2 linked regions of the Neodiprion lecontei genome follow. The protein of the gene in region 2 interacts with the protein of the main gene of each other region in a pairwise test. Links are inferred from orthologs where the notes say so. Each region holds a gene or a part of one and is shown on either strand. Other genes may lie near its edges.

The links. The genes of interacting proteins can lie anywhere in the genome.
Region 1: the proteins of homeobox protein extradenticle (region 2) and homeotic protein antennapedia interact in a protein complementation assay, tested with the Drosophila melanogaster proteins (2 studies listed by BioGRID). The link is inferred for Neodiprion lecontei from reciprocal best matches to the Drosophila melanogaster genes exd and Antp.

Annotation. Positions count from the first base shown.
Region 1 is NC_060260.1:3,269,055-3,280,004, reverse strand, and holds the start of homeotic protein antennapedia, read right to left. Parts: upstream 5,656-10,950; 5' UTR 5,166-5,655; intron 4,026-5,165; 5' UTR 3,922-4,025; intron 1-3,921. UniProt on the Drosophila melanogaster protein: Sequence-specific transcription factor which is part of a developmental regulatory system that regulates segmental identity in the mesothorax. Provides cells with specific positional identities on the anterior-posterior axis.
Region 2 is NC_060262.1:32,542,979-32,553,611, forward strand, and holds the start of homeobox protein extradenticle, read right to left. Parts: upstream 6,457-10,633; 5' UTR 6,297-6,456; intron 5,889-6,296; exon of another isoform or gene 4,462-5,888; 5' UTR 4,275-4,461; coding exon 4,042-4,274; intron 3,664-4,041; coding exon 3,590-3,663; intron 1-3,589. Other genes in the region: surfeit locus protein 6 homolog, read left to right, coding at 7,106-7,241, 7,341-7,391, 7,579-8,300. UniProt on the Drosophila melanogaster protein: Transcription factor which acts with the selector homeodomain proteins altering the regulation of downstream target genes such as wingless (wg), teashirt (tsh) and decapentaplegic (dpp), thus affecting segmental identity.

The DNA of each region.
Region 1 (10,950 bases), on a different chromosome or scaffold from region 2:
AAACATTCAAACGATATCCTATAAATCGATAAACGATCTTGCATCCTCGATGTAGTTGACAGGTTAGCGACTTTATGCGCGAATTAAAAAAAAAAACAAAAAATTGATAGAAACAATGAGCAGACGATGGGATGAATGGATCATAAAGTGTATAATGTAAAAGACCAGGGACTAGAAAATAGGAATTGGCAAAAATGCAGCAAAAAAAAAAAAAAAAGAAAATAAAGAAAAAAAACGCAAACCAAAAACCGCTACACTCGACAAATACGCGCGAGCCTGGTAATTACGAGAGTCCATTTGAGGGGGGAGACAATAATTATAATGGTTATTGGGGTAGGGAGGCAGGAAGGCGGCCGCTCGGGGGTTAAATTACAGGTTTGCTGCGTGCGGCCAACGTATAGAGGCATAGGTTCGATAGATGGGTATCTGTGTGCCGCACACTGCCTCACTCCCGTACTTTTGTACACCACCAAGAACCACGCGGTGTGTACCCGGTATCTTGCTCACGTACCGTCGACCAAAGAACGACGACGCAACGGAGAATTCTGCAGTTGGGAGCCGGGCAACGGACGGAATTATACCCGGAGTGTAATCCACACTCCGGCGTACGACACTGAGCAAACAAATGTTACACACCAGATAATTTGACGTTTCGAAACAACGATTACTGCCTCTGGTCTACGTGTGCCTCATACTTGGTATCGCTGTGCGACTTACGCGATACGTTGTAGAGGAGTCTCATCACACCCTAAAATCATTGAGAAAGGGATTCGTGCTGCTGACTTACTGTTCCATCAATTACCTGTCAGTGGACTCGGAACTTAGATTCTTTCATTTGTAACCACATTCGAAATATAGATGAAAGTCAAAATTTGGAGCTCAAAATCTTCGACGATCAATCGAGATTTGAAATGAGATTGGTGCAGAAATATTCTAAAGTGACACAAGTTTGACACAAGCTAACAGTTTCGTTTCTCTGAAACTTGATCCGATATTTTGATGGTAAACTTTCACGAACACGATGCGAAGAAGAGTGTTCTTCACCGAGTACGAAGGAACATCAGCCGCGCTATGAACGTGGCAACGTGGTATAATACCATGCCTACTTCGCGGGACTTCGATGAACGATTTATCACTCTTATTAATAGCACGGCAACCGGCTCTTATACCGATCGCATCCAGCTACAAGAGGCTACACCTAGAGAATCCTGCCTTGAACAACTGGATCATGCCCTGTCCTGCCGAAGCGAGAAATCCTTTCCAGCATTCCGTTCCTTGAGAAATATCCTCGTCCAAGGTGTGTACTACACACCCCCGTAGTGACGGTCACGACATCCGGAACACAAGGTGCAGCGGCTGGAACGCCCGGTAGAGAGAAGCAAATATAGCATGCGTATCGCGGATAAATAGCACACAACCAAGGACCTCGCGTTACAGCCGTGGAATATTGCGTGTAAGGATTGTTCGTGATGTTGGCTTGGTGTTCGGCTGGACACCTAATTATACGATTGTCGTTTGTTCGAGAGTCTGAGATATCAGGACGAACCGGACAGTCGGCGTTGGACTCTTTCCTCGACTTGGCCTGACTCGGCTCGGTTTGCTTTGCCTTGTTTCGCTTTCCTTCGCCTCTGCTTTGCTCGGCCCAAGTTTGCGGAGGCAAAGATTGTCGCGCGATTAGCGCTCGGCCAGTGATGTCACGCTGGAAGACGCATGGTGTCCGCGTTTATATGGGCTAACGCCGCAAGTGCGTAATCGCCGATCGCATCTGCCTGCACTTTGCGTCAACTCCGGCACCTTGCCCGCACTCGCCTTACTCCGGCAATCCTTTTCAGATCTACCTCTCTAAGTAATAGTCGGCGGATTATCGTACGCGTCTCTCTCTCCCAGGTAATATCCACACGCCAGATTCTCTGAGCATCCTCGTTACTCACCGACCGATAAAAAGATTCGGTCTCAAAATGAGCCGACGAATTTTGACGAACAAAAATAATACGGCACATCGGCTGCCGTGCATAAATCGCTGGAGATCGATAATTGATTCCGATCCCTCAAAGAGCCTAACCATCCATACTCGTTGATATTCAATTGACTTCGTCTCGCTGAAGACCATTTGTCTCTGCGTATGTAAGAGGCTTGCAAGATCCGGTTCTCTGACCGGCCGTTTATTCTCCGAGCAAACTTGACTACCGATGTATCGAGCCTCGAAACGACGGCATCGACATTGCAAGATCATTATATCATTTTCCGGCGCTACTTTTTCACGGTGTGAAATCTAATCAGCAAATCACAGGGATCGGATCAACCGGGCGGCATTTTTAGTCACGGTGAAAGTTAATTTATTGCGCCAGGGCGTGTTTGGGCGGGCTACTCGATATCCGCGCGTGGAATCGCGAACCTCGGTTTGAAGCTAGCGTCGAAAAGTGCTGCCCGGAGAGCCGCAGCTACGTGGGAAAACGCTCGGCGAAAGAACCCGTGGCGGAACTGCTAAGCCGTCGAATCGACGGGCCTTAAGACCTTCCGAGGACGAGGACGTTCCGCAGCGACGTCCCGAACGTAGGTTTGTTCGCAATCGACGGGACGTTTGTATGGCAAGTCGTTGGCAGTTCTATCGTCGGCTTCGTGCTACCAGAGACCGTTTGGTACCATGGTTTCAATATCCGTTCGAACGCAGATGTCCCGCGCCATCCGATACCTTCTTCTTTTTCTTTTTCTTTTTAATTTCATCCATTCATTTTTTACCTCTTCTCAAATACGCTCCGCGTGTACGCGGCCCGTACATAAAGTTTGCCTGACCGGTGCGCATTTGCCCTTTTCCACCATTCGCTCCCTCCACCCGCCATTCGTAGCCAGGAATTTGTACAGCTTAACCCTGCCAGGCCCTCCGGGACTCTTGCGGTCGTTCTCAAGAAGCGTCCGAGACCATGGGGCCGAGACTTACCACCGCGGTGGTGGAAGAGTCTGTATATTTTTATGAACTCTCCCGTCAGAAGAGAATTTCGTACCCGAACCCTTCCCTGACGGCAGTTTATCCACATTTTAACCAACAATAATTCTCCGAGACTCGAACTCTTCGAAAGATTTTTCACTTTATGATCTGAAATTTCGAGTACATACAAAGAAATAGGATGAGCTTTTTGTTGAATGCCAACTTGCCGCGCAATGTCTTTACTGACTTGTGCATCGGATACGCGAGGCTGGAAGGAGGGTTTGAGTTTTGAGAAAAACGAGAATACGAGCATGCCGCAGCGAAGTTGTGGTTGGAGAGCAAACGGCTGTGAATGATTCACCGCGTCTCATTACTCAGGCAGCTTTTTACTTTAATCACATTAATGAAGCATTTAATCTCACCGCGTGTCTTACAAGCCGACGGTGTGTGGCCCGGCCGGGTTCACCGTTGACGAAGGAGGGGCCAGAAGAAACGGGGAGAGGAGGATAGCGGGGAACGGAAAGAACGGGGCACGATCCGTAGACACCACAGCCACAAACTACGGCCTGTACGAACCGGCCCCGACAGCCGGCCAGCTTATTATATTCTTATTTCTCACAGGGCCCGGGCCCCGTCGCACCCCGCTGTTCCTCGTTCCACCGTTCCGCCGTTCCACCGTTCCCCGCGAGGTGCCCTGGTCCCTCCCGCAGGGCCCGCTAATAACCGCGGGCTTCTTTAAACTCGTTTGCACCTGTACACCCGCGGTCATATCTAATTATTTATGTATTTATTACGATTCCTTTTCTCTTACGATCCGCCAGTTCCCAAACTTCACTTTCGGGAATCGCTTGAGCACCACCGACCGACCACCCCTGCGTCCGTCGTGGCTCACACATGCAACACGCATCGCCGCGGAGGACGAGTCGAGTTCTCGATTTCTTGGAATTCAACAATTTTTGCTCAGCGCATGAATATCCATGATGGAACTTCGTTACCTTACAGCACTGCCGCAGGGCGAGTCGACTCATGTCGGCATGGTAAATGGAATCCGCGAGTACCGGGTGCCGAGCCGCCCCTCGAGTGTCGCAACGTCACTTACCTGGAACAATAAATAACCCGCTATTATACAACACAACTCGCACATGTACCGGTGAGTCGGAATATGTGCTACTAATTAATCAACACCTTCTGTAAGCGAGGGCGCAAGGTCGCTGCCTTGAACGAACCCCGCGATGAGGTGCAAAATCGGTTAGATAATTAGTCGACTATTTATTAATACCGAATTTTGTTACATTCCATCGTTTTTTCACCATCGCACACGACGTGAAACAAAAAGGTCCGTACACACGTTGTTTGTCACCTAAGATTTGATAAAAATACATTCAGGCACCGAATGGAATTACAGATGTTTTGGCAACTCGAAACTACACGTATTGGAACATCGGACAATGTACGCGTGCATCTTGCGGTGAAAATAGAAAAGTATTTCAACATTCATATTTTCAGCAAGTTTGCGAGGAGTTGCTCGTTCTCTCGCGACGCTTTAACGCGGAAACAGAACTCGTTTCGACACACCAGATTTACATCCGTGATATGCCCGGCCAGTTTATTCTAAGATTATATAAAATCCTACTGTGAGAACCCACCTGTACTCATTCATATTTATTCACTGGCAAGATGCCACTGTTATTATTATCAAGATTATTGTGACTTTTATTTTGCTAAAGAAGGTAGGCCGATTTGAATCTCTTCACGTCTCACTTTCCCCACGGTCTCGACTCCTAAAAGTCTCGTCTCACTAGAGGTTCTTTCTTTTTACCTTAGAGTACAACGTGCCTGGTAATTATTTAAACGCGTGTTTTCAGGACAAGAGGCCGCGACGTTACGGAATCGGTACTAGGCTTGTAAGGATAAACGTCTTCGCAAAGAACGTTCATTAACACGTGATTCATGGATATGAATCGTTTCGCACAATGGGCGGATTTGCAGACGACCATCGGGATCTATTTCGCGTGTTGGAATCCGCCCCGGCGTCGGGTCTGTCAAATTTCACTGTATCACCGCGGCGAGCTTTTGTCTTGGGTTTTTTTTTTTTTTATTTCCGACCAGGACGATTTAGCGAGCCTGAGTATTCCGTCTGCATTTCAATTCCGAAACGAGCCATTACGCGATAAAAAAGAAACAACAATCTCCCCGGCGAGAGTGAATTCTGCGCGAGATAAAACACTGGCAAACTAACCGAGTGGTTCGAGGTTCCGGTCGGCGGGGTTCTTAGGTAAATCACGGTCTGGCACGAGTTCCTCCAAATTCCGAGCGCTTCATTACCGCCTGCATCCAACCCGGGTCCAGATCATCCGGTAATCCTATTGGCCGAACTCGAAGCCAACACTCGCGCACTTATTGGCTGCACTTGGCACGTGGCACCGCACAAGCACACGCGGGTAAAGGGAGAGCCGATCATCGGTGTCGCGGCAGCCACGTTGTGAGTGCCCCCTACCCCCGGAATAAGTGATCGGATCAACCCTCACCCCCTGCACCAAGTCGCGAAAAACTCTCCTCCGTCTCCGGATCGCGACGTAAACGCAACGCGCGATGTCCGACGAGCGCGACGTCAGACCATTTCAGTTTCACCGTTATCAATTTGTTCCCCCAAAGAAACAAGAGGGTTGGTTAGTTGGTTCGTCGGTTATATATGGATCGGCAAAACCGCGAACAGGTGTACCTATGGACACACTGGGAACATAAACCTCCTCGGTCGCGAGCGCTCGCATAAATATAACAAGAAGGAAGGTAGGCCCCTCGTGATGGTCGGCATTGCCCGCCGAGCCGTCACGACGCGAGCGATGGGGGGAGGCGGACGATGAAGGGGGATGGTGGGGGAGGGGCAGGGGGGCACACCGACGCCGCTGCGCCACTGCTGTACGGTACCTGTGCCGGGCGCACACTTAGAGGATCGAGGGTGTGTGGGTGGTCATGTACGGCGCAACACGACGGTGTGAAACACTGGGAAACGGCGGAATGATCGATGGGATTCTGCGCTGTGGGAGGCGTGGGTGCCCTCCGCTCCCCGTTCTTCCCGGGCCGCGAAGCTCGCCCCACGACGCCGGGCGTCCCCTCCCCCCCCCACCATCGCGGAAAAGCGGCGTAACTTCCCCACCGACGCCGGGTGCTCGCGGCCCTTTGACGGTCGGCAAAAGCTCGCTCGCTCGCTAGTCGGCGCAACTTAGTCGGGCGGGAAAGGGTGGGGGATGGAGGGGAAGGGACACGCACGTGGTCAGGACGGGGTTACGTCTCCGTTCCCTAGATGGCGTCGCGACGGTGGCGACGCCAGCACTGTCTATCGGAAAAAAGCTCAAGCTCTCAGACCCGGCGGCAATGCAGCTTGGCGTTTTGAACGAGACGAACAATTTTCACGACCATACGATTCCCCGAGCGGTGATCAGTGATGAAATAGGCTTAAGCTTGTACGCAGAATTTTATTATCAATCGTTGCGCAAAAACGGACATGATTATACTTTACGTAATCCCTGCTGTGGGGAAGGGGCGGAGGACACTTTTCATACCCCGCAGGATCAATTAAAAATTACGCAGCCAGTTTGCGTAGAGTTCTACGATCTGCCTTATAATCCGCGGCTCTCTTACCCGTATACGTTATACATATACGTAGAGCTACGTGTTCGATCGCGGTATAATATGTATTTATTCATCCGCATGCGAAACGCCGACTCTCTGACACTGCTACCCTCCTTGTACGGCTGTGTTTATACCCGACTCTTTTCGTACCCGGCGGCACTCTCCGGTTGCCGCAGTGAGGTGTAATTAACGCGTTGCGAGGCCGCTCACGCACCGTTTTCCACGCACACCGTCGTCCCGAATGTTCACCGACTGAACTCCCAGCGTCACTCACACCGATCCGGCCGCGGCGCACGCGCTCATAAACCACGGACACCGCGGGCATGCCAGAGTTTCCACCCGCACACAAGACGACCACCCATGAATGTGCCCGTGACCACCCGCGGCCTTCCCGTGGCTTTTGTCCCGCGAGTTGAAATTTTTTCTCGGCCAATCGCGAGGCCCGAGTCACGCCAAAACTGGAGCTGTAATCAGGTTGCGTTCACGCTCCTCGTGCAGGTGTCGAGGTATTCCAGAAGCGGTCGGGCTTCGGCCACGTGGCTTTCAGGAATTCCTTTTGATCGGTGCGTGAGAGCGCTGGGTTAAACGTGTTTATGTAAGTTGTGGCGCAGCCCAGGCAGCGCAGGGCAGGGCAGGGCAGAGATACGCTCAGATTATTAATCGTCAATTTACGAGGGAAGAGAAATTCTGGTACGTTTCACAGAATGCAAATGCCAACGCCGCGTCCAGTAGGCACAAACGAACGAGACGCCCGACGTCCGGATTTCAACCGGAGTGGGTCCGAGCGCTGCCCCAACCGAATTCCTAGCTATATCACGCCTCGAGCTCCCTCTAAGTACGTATTTTGTGAGCATGGAACGTTCCTGCCGAACGCGGCCCGAAACAAAATGATTACTTTCTAACGTTTCCCGTTCATCCGTCAACGTTGGTCGTCATGGCGCGTTCACCGTTGTCCAATACCGGCACGATTTTTCCTCCCGCATCTCAAGTGGGTAGGACAGAAAACCGCTCGTCAGATTTCAAAGCATCCGGACGTTGAACCGTCGTAAGTCTGTCGGTTTCCTACGCAATTGTAGTGTAAATATTTCGCGACGGCGTGGCGGCGCCGGAATACAGACTAAATCCGAATACGTACAGAGCGGTGATTTTCGAACCAAACTATATAGTTTTAATTAAAAAGAAACGCTGTGCAATCTTCCTATTAGCTGGCACCTCTTCTGAACCACGAGCGCATCGAGCCGAGTCGAATTAAACAGATCGTGAAACACGGTATCTACGCGAATGACGTGTTATTACCCTCTTCGGAACATTAAGTATACGTGTTGCAGAGGTGTACAAGAATATCGTTTGTAACCTACTAATCTGCGTTTAAAGGAAGAAAAAAAGGTCACGCAGTCTGTGTGTCAAAACGTAAAGACATATGCTGACCTAATGTTGGAGTGTATTAATAAAATAAATTGATTGACGATCACGAATTGGCGAGTATGGTGTTGTTGATAGTGGCGCAATAATCGAGACGAAATTTGTTGAAAGGTGGATAAAGAGGGAAGTCATTTCTCTGCTCGCTCGTATTAAGGCCAATTGTTTTCTAATTACAGCAGCGTTTTACCGTCATCGTAACACCCGAGGATGCGAGGGTGAGGGTGAGGGTGAGGGTGGTGGCCCTGCGGGTGCCGCAACGCGTTGTATTTTATGGCTGGAAAGTAGTGCAAAGCACGGCGTGCTGGCAATTGATCAATATAGCGCCACGGCCACCGCCACCGCTGGCAACCCCTTCCTTCCCTCCCTCCCCCCCGGCCAACGTCGTCTCTTCTCTTTTCTCTCCAGCCCAAGCTTTCTCCCCCGTTTCGTTCACCCCCCCCCCCCCCCCCCTTCCCCTTTCTCCGCCTCGGGCACCCGTGGTGCGTTCCCTACCGCCGCGGGGAAAACGAACGAACGAACGAACGAACCCCCATAACAAGTTTCTTACTCATCTTTTTCGTTCAATAACTCTCCATCCAAGATGGCCACCACGGGTCGTCCCTCATTGGCCATGGGATGGGGTGGTCGCAAGGTAGAAGCCGAAGGGTGCTGCGGGGGGTTGAAACCAGTGACGCCATCTATCTTCCGTTGCCTTGGCTCGGAGTAACATAAGGCAAGATAAATTGCGGGATCTCCTGGGTTCTTGAACCTTTCTGGCAAATTGCATAAGAATATCCACCCCCGTCGCTGCCACCAGCCACCCAGCGACCCCCGCCTCACCTCCACCACCCCCTCGCTCCTCCAATGGAATTGGAATTAACTTGAATAAATCAGCCCTCCACCACCTCAAGACACCCTGAGCTACACGCGCTCGGCCCGCCCGCCTTGCCCCACGGAAAATACTTAAAAACCGTCCTTGCCAAACTAGGTAACGTTATCCGAGGAAAAAGGGAGAAACGGAATATCGTTCATTCCAAGAGTGGGTAGGTATTTTACCTTCAATCTGTCGGAGCATTCGCCGGGAAAAGGTATCCCTCGTATTCCTCCCACCAAATAAGAGAGAAAAAATTAAATCCCTGAACATCTCTCCGAGGCAAAAGGAAGTTCGAGCAATCTTCCGGGTCTTTTGGAAGTAAGCAATAGCGAGGAACGAACGCGCGCGCACTTAAAGGGGGAATCGTTTCACGGTGCACAACAGTGTCGAGAGTGTATACCTACGGCATAAAGTGATAATAATAATTTAGTGACGATTAGGAGAAATGTGGCTGTTGACGGTGTTCCATCTCCCCATTCCCATGCTTGGATGTGTACGACACGGAAATCTCCTCGTCTTCACGGTGTAGGTGTCAAGTTCCATTCAGCCGAGCAAATGAGCGATAAAACCATTCATGGTCTAACCACCGTTCGCTGGTCGTTCGAGTCGTTTCAAGGGTCGTAAAGTAATGCTGACATCTGGTGGCATTCGCTCGAACACCGTTCTCCTCCTCTTCGGGTTGAACAAGGACGGACCTATACTGGTTTTCGGAGTCCTGCCAAAGACGCGGAGAGGGAGGGAAGCGTCTAACCAGCGCACGCGCCTCTCCGCGGCCCATTGATCGAAAGAACTTATAGCTTGTAAAATTGGTGGAAGAAGAAAGGAGGCCATAAAAACACAACGAGCTATTCCATCTTCGAGATACCGACGCAGAACTTCCGCTCTTGCTCCAAATACGCCCGATTTCTCACCGTCGCAAGGGGAATCACCGAATTCGCAAGCTCATCGTCAATGCGAAAAAAAAAAACAACTAATCGTTTGGATATTTTATCTCCCATTCATTCTGAAGTATTACCGTCTTTTCAATTCAGGTACACACATTACGGATGAAGCAGGTGCTCCTGAAAATTAGATTTTTCATACTTGACGCAAATGTTCAAGGGTTGGCTAAGCAGCTGATCTTCCTTCGTTGGTCTATGAAATTTTAGAAAACTTTGGATGGGATTGAACAGAGGATAATTCTTGGTTTTTTCACTTCTGTTTTTTGAGTCGCTCTGTGTACAGAATTCCAAAATCACGACACAAATCCATTACTGGAAATCCAATAGGACATCTATCAAGAAGTTTCCAAGTGTTTCCAGAGGATAATCAAAGTTGTTTAATTGGCTTTGAAGACACGAAGGAAAGACATGCACGAGACTCGAGTAGCTCGATTAAATAGCGTCAGTCAAATTACTTCTTGACGAACCGTTAATGAGCCAGAACCCAGGATAAATGAATCAAGAATTAGATAACACATGCAAAAAACGTATTGTCATAAATTAGCATCGGCCTATAGACAAATGCAAATACACTAGAACGCCTTTTAACGCATGGTTAGGTAAGCAATAAAACGTTTCGTGCTGTGATTTTGAAGAAAAAATTATAACGACGAACAACGTATAAGCAATTCGTTTGAATACAATGGTGTCGCAGCAGCAGCAGCAGCAGCAGCAGTCACCACAACAAGAGAAAGGATTACCCACTCGGAGCAATAAGAGTAGGACATAAAAATACGGAATGCGGTGGGAGAGCGCAGGGGCAGCCGGTGATTTCACCCAGAAAATTGTGTTAGGGTAAGGTTAGTGAGCTCAAGGCGCACTTTACGATTTGTTTACACCCGTGGGTTGGCGGCGGGCTGTATCAGTGCGGGAATATCTGTAAAAGCGCCGCGTCCGTCCAGATTGAGCGCTCGGCGTGCGTGCGCGTGTGGGTGGGTCGGCATCGCATCGCATCGCATCGGTTGTCAGAGAGGAGCGCACGGTGCGAGAAGTGGTTGATTCGCGTGTACGGAGAGGCTGCGGCCAATACAACGATCCGTACGTATAGGAGTGTAGGGTACACGAGAGCACGAAGGGCCACGTGATCGTGCAGGCCATAAACGCGCGGTTATGCGCTCGTAAAGCGAACCCCACTC
Region 2 (10,633 bases):
GATACATACCGACGTCAAGAGTCAATTGTTGCGACTCTAAAGCCATGTATAATTTGGCAAATAGTTATATTTTTTCCATACCCTTAAATTATCAGCACCGATGCTGCAACCGTCCTATCGAATTTAAATACGCATTAGCATGATCGACGCTGTCGCAATTTGGATCGCGTTAACGGGGTAATAAATTCTATTTGAATTGATTACCGGTTGTTGATGATAGAGCTATACGTAATGCATAACAGACGCGTTAAAGGAAGCCACGATCCGTCGTTGTCCTTGATTGTGTAACAATGCGACGGCACGAGACTGTAATAAACAAAACTGAACAACAGACGCGATAGTGATAATGGTAACGTAACAAAGAGCAACAAAGAAAAAGAAAATACGAAACTGACCACGTAAACAACAGCCAATATGTAAACCGTCGGTGTTTTTTCAGTAAAAATAGTTTCGCCTCGCGGTCTCAAATATTTGTGGCCTTTGCAACGTTTATAAATAATAATACTCGATACAGATTATATGATTTGAGAACAGGTCAATTCGACTGGTTGTTGAACCGAGCAAGATTAATGACTCGTTTTCTAGACAAATTTTAGTTGAGGAAGGCGAGAGGCGTACCCAATAAACGGCACTTCAGCTCGCGGTGTTGTTCCAAATTAATTACTCTTCAATTAGGTACAGTAACTAACACCGCCACGGATATCTTTATAAGTTCATTGCTCATCGTCAACGTCTAATTGACAAACGGGTCAACGTCGAGCAGCAGGTATGGGATTAGAGTGAATCAGGTTTGAAATTCAGTTTAGATTGTTTCCTGCAATCTCAGCGCTCTTTCTTAATCTGTTTTATAATCCATGGTTTTTAAGAGGACGTCGAATCTCCGTAAAATACCGCAGATCGTATTTTTACAGTTCTCACTTTTTCTGAACGAGAAAATTCCTTCAAATTTTGGCAAATCATTTGACTCGGAAGAGTACAAGGAATCAACGAAATCACCGAACATATGCTTGCAACGGATTCTCGCTCACTTTGAGGCGGTTGCGGGATTATTGAATCCCATGTTTTTCGTATTTTTACATCAGTTTTTCGAGTGAACCCACAAGCACAATTGGAAACATTTGTAAGCGTATAATTTCCCAAAGTTTGAAACGATTTAGTTACTCCAGAGAGAAAGGACTTATAGTTAAAATACGATTCGGTCACTCCGTCGGCACTCCGACATCCCCTTACAATTAAATTATAACTACGGGTTCCGGACTGGACCAGAAATCATCGCCTCCTGACTCGTCCCTCGAATACCGTGATATTATACACAAAAGTATTACAGTGTTGGCGATGGTTGAACGCGCGACCCGTGGCGTGAAAATATATATATTTTTAGACCAGAAACCGTGGCAACGTCGGTGCGGCGCGGAGAAGAAAAGAGAAGAGAAGAGAAGAGAAGAGAAGATGAGAGAAGAGGAGAGAAGAGGAGAGACTCGAAGTAGTACATGACCGAACGAGGCCTCCTTTTTCACGTGAATTTCGGCACCGCCCGCTGTCAGGAGAGTAGAATGTAGAAAAGGTAAGGGCGAGGTATCCAGGGCCCGAAAATGAATAGGACCCTAAACGCCGTGACAATGGTGGAAATTTAGGGGCTGTATTTCCCTTGGCTGGCAGCGTGCGCAAAGCGCGCAAGGTGTTTTTCTCACATTCTTCACCGAGCCAGAGGCGGAAAGGACGCGGTCAGACAGACGGCTGCCGACGAACCAACCAACCAACCAACCAAAGAACCGCGGAGCTCTTCGGCGGAACGGGGGAAGAAAAAGGGTTTTGTTTATCTTCGAGTAAATCAAGTGTCGGTGCGTTCGTCCGAGCTCACGGACGCTCTAAACTCCGCGTCTAAATCGTATCTTCGCAGATTACAGAGTTCATCGAAAAATCTCGGAAAAATTATCAAAACAAGAATAAAAAAAAAAAAAAAAAAAACGAACCTCTTGTAATACGCTTATTTATCGTATTTTAAAATATTACGAAACGGATCAATGGCTCAACTAACGCAAGAGGTACGGTTTCGGAATGGTCTGCATTTGCTTTCTCTCTTCGTATCGTCTCCGCTCATTATCGGCTTGGACGAGTTTATCGTAATCGAAAAAAATCCATCGCCGACGGCGAACGATGATCGGTTATACGGGGTTCACGGATCTCTAATTCGAATCTATCCTCGCCCCATGAGAACCCTGATTATATTAAGTACGCGGGAAAACGGTCTGCTTAACATAGCGTTTATCTGCTCTTCTCCATTTTAGTGCTTTTTCACTGCCTCGTCAGCCATTGCCCATAAACTCTGTGGTGGAGCGGCGCAGTTCAGTTCTATCCCCGGTTTCTGTGTAGGCGTGTACAGATTTACACACCGGCATTCGTCCCACATGCATGAGTAGCTCTGCATCGCGCCGAGCGTGATACACACCACGACGCGGCGTCCCGCGCACGTTCATACATGTAAGTACATACATGTGCACACATGCGTACATATACGTATGCACACGGAGCGTCGCGTCGCTCTCTCGGTTGGGAATACAGCGGGCCCCCCAATACCAATTCGAAACTCGTAAACATAATTTTTATGTGATGTTTGGATTACTTTACGCGTGGATAGAGAGACCACGAAGTGCGCAATTATTTTGGGGCTCCCCTGTTTTCAGGCCCCCTTTTCCGTCGCTGACGGCTCTTCAGCTTTTCTGTGCCGACTCCCCTGATCGGAAAAAATGGGATGGGAAGGGGGGATGACGCGCCTGCAGCAGCATATCAAGGGTCGTTCACCGTCAACAGAAACGTCTATCCGTACGTCTGCCTGTCTGTCTTCTTCCGAGCCCAGTGAACCGCGAGGAGAGGCATTCGATCCAAGATGCAGGGAAGGACCGAAATCAAATCCCGCCAATTGCGGAACACGTCGTTTAAATCGAGTTCTTCGCTACCCACGCGCTCGGATCAACGACGAGCATGACAATCAATGCATGCCGCGAAGGATGGGAGGTGAGGAAGAGAAGAGAGACGATGGAAGAAAGTTGAATTGTTTTCCCTGTCGGTGATTGAACGAATGAATGAATGAACGAATGAGGGAGGTGTGATTTACGGACTCCCGTTGCTTCTGCAGGTACTTTTCTCGTATCTGTTATTTTTATTTCCTTTTTTTTTAAATCTTCTTTCTTTGGTCTGATTGGTCGTTTTTAGTTACTCTTTATCCCCTGGCACATTTTATGTAACGTATTGTCACACTGATAGCATCGCGAGATAAGGTGCGATAAAATCGTGGCCGATCATCCATCATTGCGGGTGACATTGATACGGTGTGACAGCGTCGCCGCTGCTTAAAACCCTTCGAAATTCTTTTAAAACTAAAATGTTCCTCCGGCTTGAGGCGAAGTATAAACAAACGGACGTGTGCACGAACTGCATGTAGCCGTGTGACCTTCTTTTTCGATTCTCTGCACGGACGGCGACAGTCGTTGAATAATCGCGAAAACGTAGGTCGGAATGTATCGTACAGCATTTGAACAACGTATGAAATTCGAATTCGATAATGCAGGTATCTGATGTCTTAGCTTACCAGTTTTTTCTTTGATTTCGCACAAGACGGAGAATAGGGCTGGTTTCATTCTGTGGCAATTTAGCGTGTGTTTTCTGTGGACAATAACAAACAGAAAAGACGTTTAACTATTGTTTAAACAGACAGCGTACACATATTCGATATAAATTAAAAACAACAATAACCCGCAATAAGGCCGGTATATTCAAGTGTTAAACAACTCTCAAACCGATCGCTTGTCGTATTTTGCGCCTCCTTTATTTCGGTTATGAAAACGAATTACACTCAACGCATTAGTAACTCTATGAGCAGGCACTTGTTACCGTAATCGTCACCTCTTTCCATTCTAAATTACAGAGTATCGATCCCTGAATCATCGACAGAATCAAGTTCCCGACGGAATTTCGTCCGCGCGATATTCATATTTTCCCTAAAGTATACTCGCGAAATGATTGAATTGGGAATTTAATTACCTAGCCTGTGCCTCGTCCAAACTTTGGTCCGTTATGTTCATAATCTGCTGTAATATTTCGCCGATGTCCTGTTTCCTCGCCTCGACGCTCTGATCGGGGCCTTGAGCCGCGCTCGCATCGACGGGCCCCATGCTGCCGTAGCCCCCCGTGTTTTGGGCCCCTTGACCCTGGTTGCCCCCCATCAGACTCACACCTGAACCACCGTGTTGCAGCATCCTTCCAGTTTCATCCATCAACTGAGTACCAGCTCCGTTTACGTCTGGCGGCTCGCTGGAGCACCGATGTTCTCTTTGCTCTGTTTTTGTTTTTAGTTTTTTTTTTTTCGTTTTTTTTTTTTATGATGCCTCTCGCGATTTTGTCAGGACTTCGGAGCGACGAATGACTGATCCCGAATGGTTTTCTTTACAAGATTTACAAGAACTAAAAACAAAGAAACACACAACAGTAAACAAACAATCAAACAATCGCCAACCGACGCGTTTCACTTTCTCATTTCTCTTCTATTTTGCGATTATTATTGGACGATGATGATGATGATTATTAAAATACTCCCATCTCGCGCACAAACTTTCGTCGTTGTATTAATTTTTCAACACGTGTTCCACTTTATCCGTAACTAACAACGAATCTTATATCGCGTACATATGTTTCTCCGTGTGTAAATACGGCAAACTCTGCTACCTTCGTCGTTCTCTTCGGGATTATTTGGAAATATATATATGTATATACTCGCAACTACGGTAATAATAATAACAATAACAATAATAATCACTGTGGTTATTATTATCGATTTGTTACATTAAAACGCGATTGAAAATAATTCGTAGACACTATCAGCATCGTATATGTATTTATATGTGTGTATATATATATATGTGTATATACAATATATATATATATATATATATATATACAACAGTGTCTTCTGGTATTAATTTCCTTTGTCTCGAATTTCCAACGTTCACACTTACGTTTATTCTTATATTTTATTGTATTATTGTATTCTTTTTTATCCTTTATGATATATATATGTGTATATATATATCTCTTATGTTTTAGGTTCGTAGTCGGTATGATGTAGAGTAGTGTCTAGTTGACGGATTGTCAAAGTGTTACGTATACACGGTTCGTTTTATTACAGTTATTATTTTATGTATCTATTTGTTTTATTTATTACTTTTTAATAACTATTAATTTACGTCATCCTCGTTACCGTTTTCGAATCCTCGGTATTGTTGTTTTCGACGGTGTTTCACGGTAAGCCTAGGCCGATTTGGAAAACTCTTGCCATTCGTATGGCATTACTCTGTGCCTTTACAAGGCAGCGCGCGGCCCGTGTGCGTTCTGTCTCTAGCGATCTGACTTTGGTTAGTGTGAAACTAGCTTCCCTCGGTGCCGAGTGTGCGTGCGCCAGCCATACCCGTTCCCGCCAATCAGAGGACCGCATTCGCGCTCCGTCCTCCGACACGAGACGTCTCTCTCTCACTTGTTTGCTGCCCCATGCGCGACTCTTCGTTGACGCTTGTTTATTTAACCTCCGAGCATCAAACTATCACCGATTCGATGTCGTTCACGGTTTACACGCACTGTCGCCAACACTCCGATATTCACTAAGGTCTGATCATTGTATAAAAGTTTTTCACATTAATGCTGATTGTATTCACGTAAGGCAGGTTTAGTCTCGCACGTCGCGCATCCGACGCTCATTCCTGACAGCAGTTGCGACGCAGACTCCGCCCACATTGCACTTTTTATTCTACAGTTTTTATTTATGTACCCGATTAGGCGGCATGTTGATACGTATTTGTCCCACTGTTTACTTATTGGTGAAAAATAATATTTTTACTCGTGTTTTACCGGCAAAATATCAACTCTCAAGCGTCTAAACGGAGGTTTAATTTGCCAAACAAACCCGTGAGCATGCGCGGCAAATAAACATGGCTTCCATGGCGGCCATGTTTGAATGCAGTTGTTGATTGGAACTGGAACCGATGTTGCAGGATTTCTTTTGCGATTACGTGGTAATATTTGGTATCTGGGAAACTTATATGTTAAAAAATTTTGGAATAAAAATTAGCCGCTGTTATCAAGTGTTGAATTTATCACCGTTGTAACGAAAAAATTTGAACTCAACTTTTCAGACTGTCGTTGCTGTTTACTACAATAAACAATAAATTAATGAATGTATGCGTGCAATAGTGCGTATAATTATGTCCGTCAGCTGGGATAAATCAAAATAAATAATGGTTTCATACCTGGCTTACGGAAACGTCAGATTCGTCAGGATTCACGGATAAAATTCTAACATAACCCAAAATAACCTTAACTTAACCTAATCTAATCCAAGTGACAACGAGGCTTGACGTCTACCCACGTTTCCTTGCAAAGTTTTGCTCGCTACTTTTCGCCGGTAAGAATGTCTGCTGCTGATAACGGTACAAGAATATTCAACCTCAACGTTGCACCTTCTTTATCACTCCCTCCTTGCCTGGAATGACGTTTCCCAATTGATAGTAGCGCCATCTGTGCGTCATTTGATAGTACCAGACACAGACTCAGTAAGTCTACGGGCCTGAGAGAGCTCACGCTCGTCTTTCCGTGATATAGGTTTTTGACACTAATTTTCGAGGTATTTGGTCGGTAAACGCGTGGCGTAACCGACCAATACTCTGCCGTATTAAGCGTCGTGAAAACAGTGAACGATGCGGAACACATTTACGGGGATCAGTAGTCAAATATGAACAAATTACTAACATCCACTGTTTTCGTGATGCCGAATATGGCCGATCACTGAAGATACTGCAGAGTGCAGTTCAGTTACCGTCATGCCTTTACCGTTCAAATATCTCTAAAACTAGTTCTGAATACCTGTATGGTGTCAAAGGGCGCTAATACACCGGAGACACGAGAAGTGCAAGCGTGGGCTCTCTCAGGCTTCTGTCTGCTTCTCTCTCGTACGTTTCGCGATTTGACCACGCCGCGGCGACTGCTGTTCGTCATCGTCATTATATTTACAAGCTGCAGGAGGTGCACGTGAAATTTTGTGGTTAAAAGGAAAGACAAGATGCAGTTAACAGAGACGCGTAAGGCTAAATCATTCGACGTGAAGTTGGCGAAGCAGATATTGATAAGGGAAAATAAGTACATAACAGATTTGTTCTCCCGTATGCCTATACCATACTCTGCCCTGCACAAAAACGGTTCGAACTCAAATATAACCTGAAAATTTGATAATTCTTACGTTGTATAGACTCGTCTGGTTGACAACGAGATATAATTTAACGCTTTTTTTATTGCAGATGAATTCCAAGACGATGATGCCGACCACGAGCAACAAACCAATGACAGAGGTATTAGTTTTTTGCAATAAGTCTGCTAGAGATAACAATTGTAGAATATTTAAAGTTCTTGGTTATCAGCGGCACGCTTGCGTGTGGAAAGACTACATAATTGATATTTCCAAGGATTCCTATAAAAGATTGATGAAAAGTTCATCCATTACTGTTAATTACCAAATACTCTCGTTTTGGGTTATAGAAAAGATGTTTTTGGCTCTGGGGTCAGGCACGTCGAGAGCGAATACGTTAATAGAGTTGCATGAAAAATTGGAACAGTTGAAGGGAAAGCGATTGGATTATAAAGCGAAACTTTTGAAAAAGGGCCTGAAAAATAGACTGAAGAAAAAAAGTAAAAAAGAAGAGAGATTGATGCAGAAAAAACTGGCCAAGACAGAGTTGGCTGCAGCTGGGGGTGCCAAAGCGAAGCATGAGAACGGAGATGTGCCCAAGTTCACAAGACCGAAACCAATTTTCAATTCGGAAGGTAAAATGGTCTTCAGTAAATTCGACTTCTCAGAAATCGGTGCTAAAAAAGTACAGCCTAAAGTAGACAAGGATCCCAAAAAGATTCTGCAAAAGTTGGAAAAACAGAAGTTGAAGATAAACGAACTACAGCAAGCTGGAAAAAAAGATGCGGCCGATGAACTTCAGGAGAGACAAGCTTGGAAAACTGTTCTAGCCAAGGCAAGTGGGGAAAAAGTCAAGGATAATCCAGAGTTATTGAAAAAATCAGTCAAAAAAGAAGAGCAAAAAAGGAAACATAGCGCTAAAAAATGGGAGGCTCGAAAAGAAAAGGTTCAGAAATCGCTGGAAGAGAAACAACAAAAAAGACAAGAAAACATTAACAAACGAAAAAGGGAAAACAAAATAAACAACCTGAAGAGAGCTTCTAAGAAGGGTCGAATCATACCTGGATTTTGAATAGCTTTCTTTGAATCATCAACTTAGCACAAGAATTGTCACTGTATGTAAAAAAAGCGTTATGAGATCAAGTAACGTGGTTCAAATATATTATCATGTTCGCAAGTTGTGATGTTATTTGCAACACAGTTTCCATGGCATTCAAACAGATTATTTTCATCGTGACTTGTTGCAAAGTCAAACGAAGACAGTGTTATTCACAAATAGGAAAAACTCAGACAGCGGCGCTGCAATTGTGGGCTGATTTTGTTATTAAAATATATAGTTTATTCAGCGAATATCTTTAGTACATACAGTATTTTTTGGAAACGATGCTAGTAAAATTAATTCATCTTATTACACTCTATAAATATGGTACGCCAACATTTTTTCTCAAGATCCTGTTATGCTTTTGAACTGAAAACTTCAAAGTTTTTTTTTTTAAATTGAACTTCGTCGAATTAGTACTACGCTACGCCTAGCCTCAAGCTTGTACCAGCATACGTACAAAAGTTTTATCACCGTCGAATATCTAAAACATTCGACAAGTTCTGCTTCGCGTGATTGTGACTACTGTTATCTGATTCTTGTATTTGTGCTTCTAATTCTAATGTCAGCATATTGTTGGTCAATATATAAATTGAGCCGTAACTTTAACGTACATATTCATGCAAAGTCTACTACTTTGATATGGTATTTACGCAGTTTCAGTGTTGCACTGCTATTCTCCGCTAACCAATTGTGAACTTCTGTACTCAGCACTACGTTTTTAACGCACTTGTATAATTGAGTTTGAATCTGAAAATCGAATTCAAGGGGCCCATTCTCCAGATATTGCAACGTGATGTTCGTAGCGATGACATTTTGTTCTCAATTTTTGTACTGCCTTCAAGTAGATTTTAATTTTAGAAATTGTTTTAGAAATTAAAATTCCTCCAATCCTCCAGGCATTATGAAATTAATGGGACTCTGATCCAATTATCTTGGTATGTCCACCAACATAGCAACATTTAGAACGTAATAAGTGCATCATGATAAACTTGACAATAGCCACAAACAATTTTCACAATTACACATACATCATTCTTAAAACTATATTTTATTATTACGCTTCGCGGGTGTTGCCTAAAAAATTTAACATATTCACTTGATTTCGATTATAGTTTAGCTGTATGCAACAATTACCATTTGCTGCTGTGATCGTTGCAATATGCCAGTCGTAATTATCGTGTGTTTTGGAGTGTTTGAAATGATGAATACCATGACTAATGCATTAGTGTTCCTTGTAATTAAAAAATGTATTCGAGTGGACTTATTTAACGGGATATAAAATGTACTCGTGCCGTCTAATCGGCAGAATTTGGCAGACGAATATTTTATTAGACTTGAAAATCTGTAACGTGTGACGCAATTGAACCGTAAACAGACAAGTTACGTACCTAGACTGAATAAATATTTGCACGTAATATAATTGGAATAAAGTTGAACGATATATTTACACGCGACTTAATTTTATCTCCGGATGAAATTTGTGCCTTGAAAGTACTCCTGGAAGGCATAAGTGGGCATTTCATTATGTGTAGAACATGTTTCAAGTTTGTAACTTACAACACTTATCAGTATATCAATAAGGTTGGCATCTTTTCCTTCTCTACCATTTTCGCCTAACTAATTATAGATATAAGATACTTACTACTTACTCACTTCTTACCGAGGCGTGAGGATAAAAATATTTACTCGACTATTCGGCATATTACTCTAATTTTGCTCTACAATATCTGATTAATGTTTGTTACATCTCCATTATACAATTCTTCTGATGCGTTGGTCCATTTGCTGCTATTCTTTTTCAGACACCTACATTACAACTATTTTTCACATTTCACGAGCGACCACAAATTTCTCAATTTATAAGTATTAGTTTAGCATTTTTGATTGGCAACGAGGTTGAAGTTAGTTACGTTATCGTAAGGAAACATTGGGGCAAAAAATCACTATTTTCATAATGTTACAACTATTTTTATGGAACTAAAATTTCGAAATATGAGATTGTTTCGTTTTATTTCGGTTCACTGAATTTCAGACAATTCCAAAATCGAAAAATAACCGTTTTCCTCATCATGATTCGTTACGATAACGTTATGAACTTCAATATTATATGATTATTCGCAGCCCGTCAACATCCCTTCGTACTATCGTACAATTCTTTATAATTTCATCCATTTAGAGATGATGTCTTATCAATCGCGCTTGAATTATGATTTTTTACGAGACAGTTGTTCGACGTTGTCGATTGGAAGAAAATGATGTTACGGTAACCGTTACTTTAGCACAAGAAAGATAGGCTGCCGTAG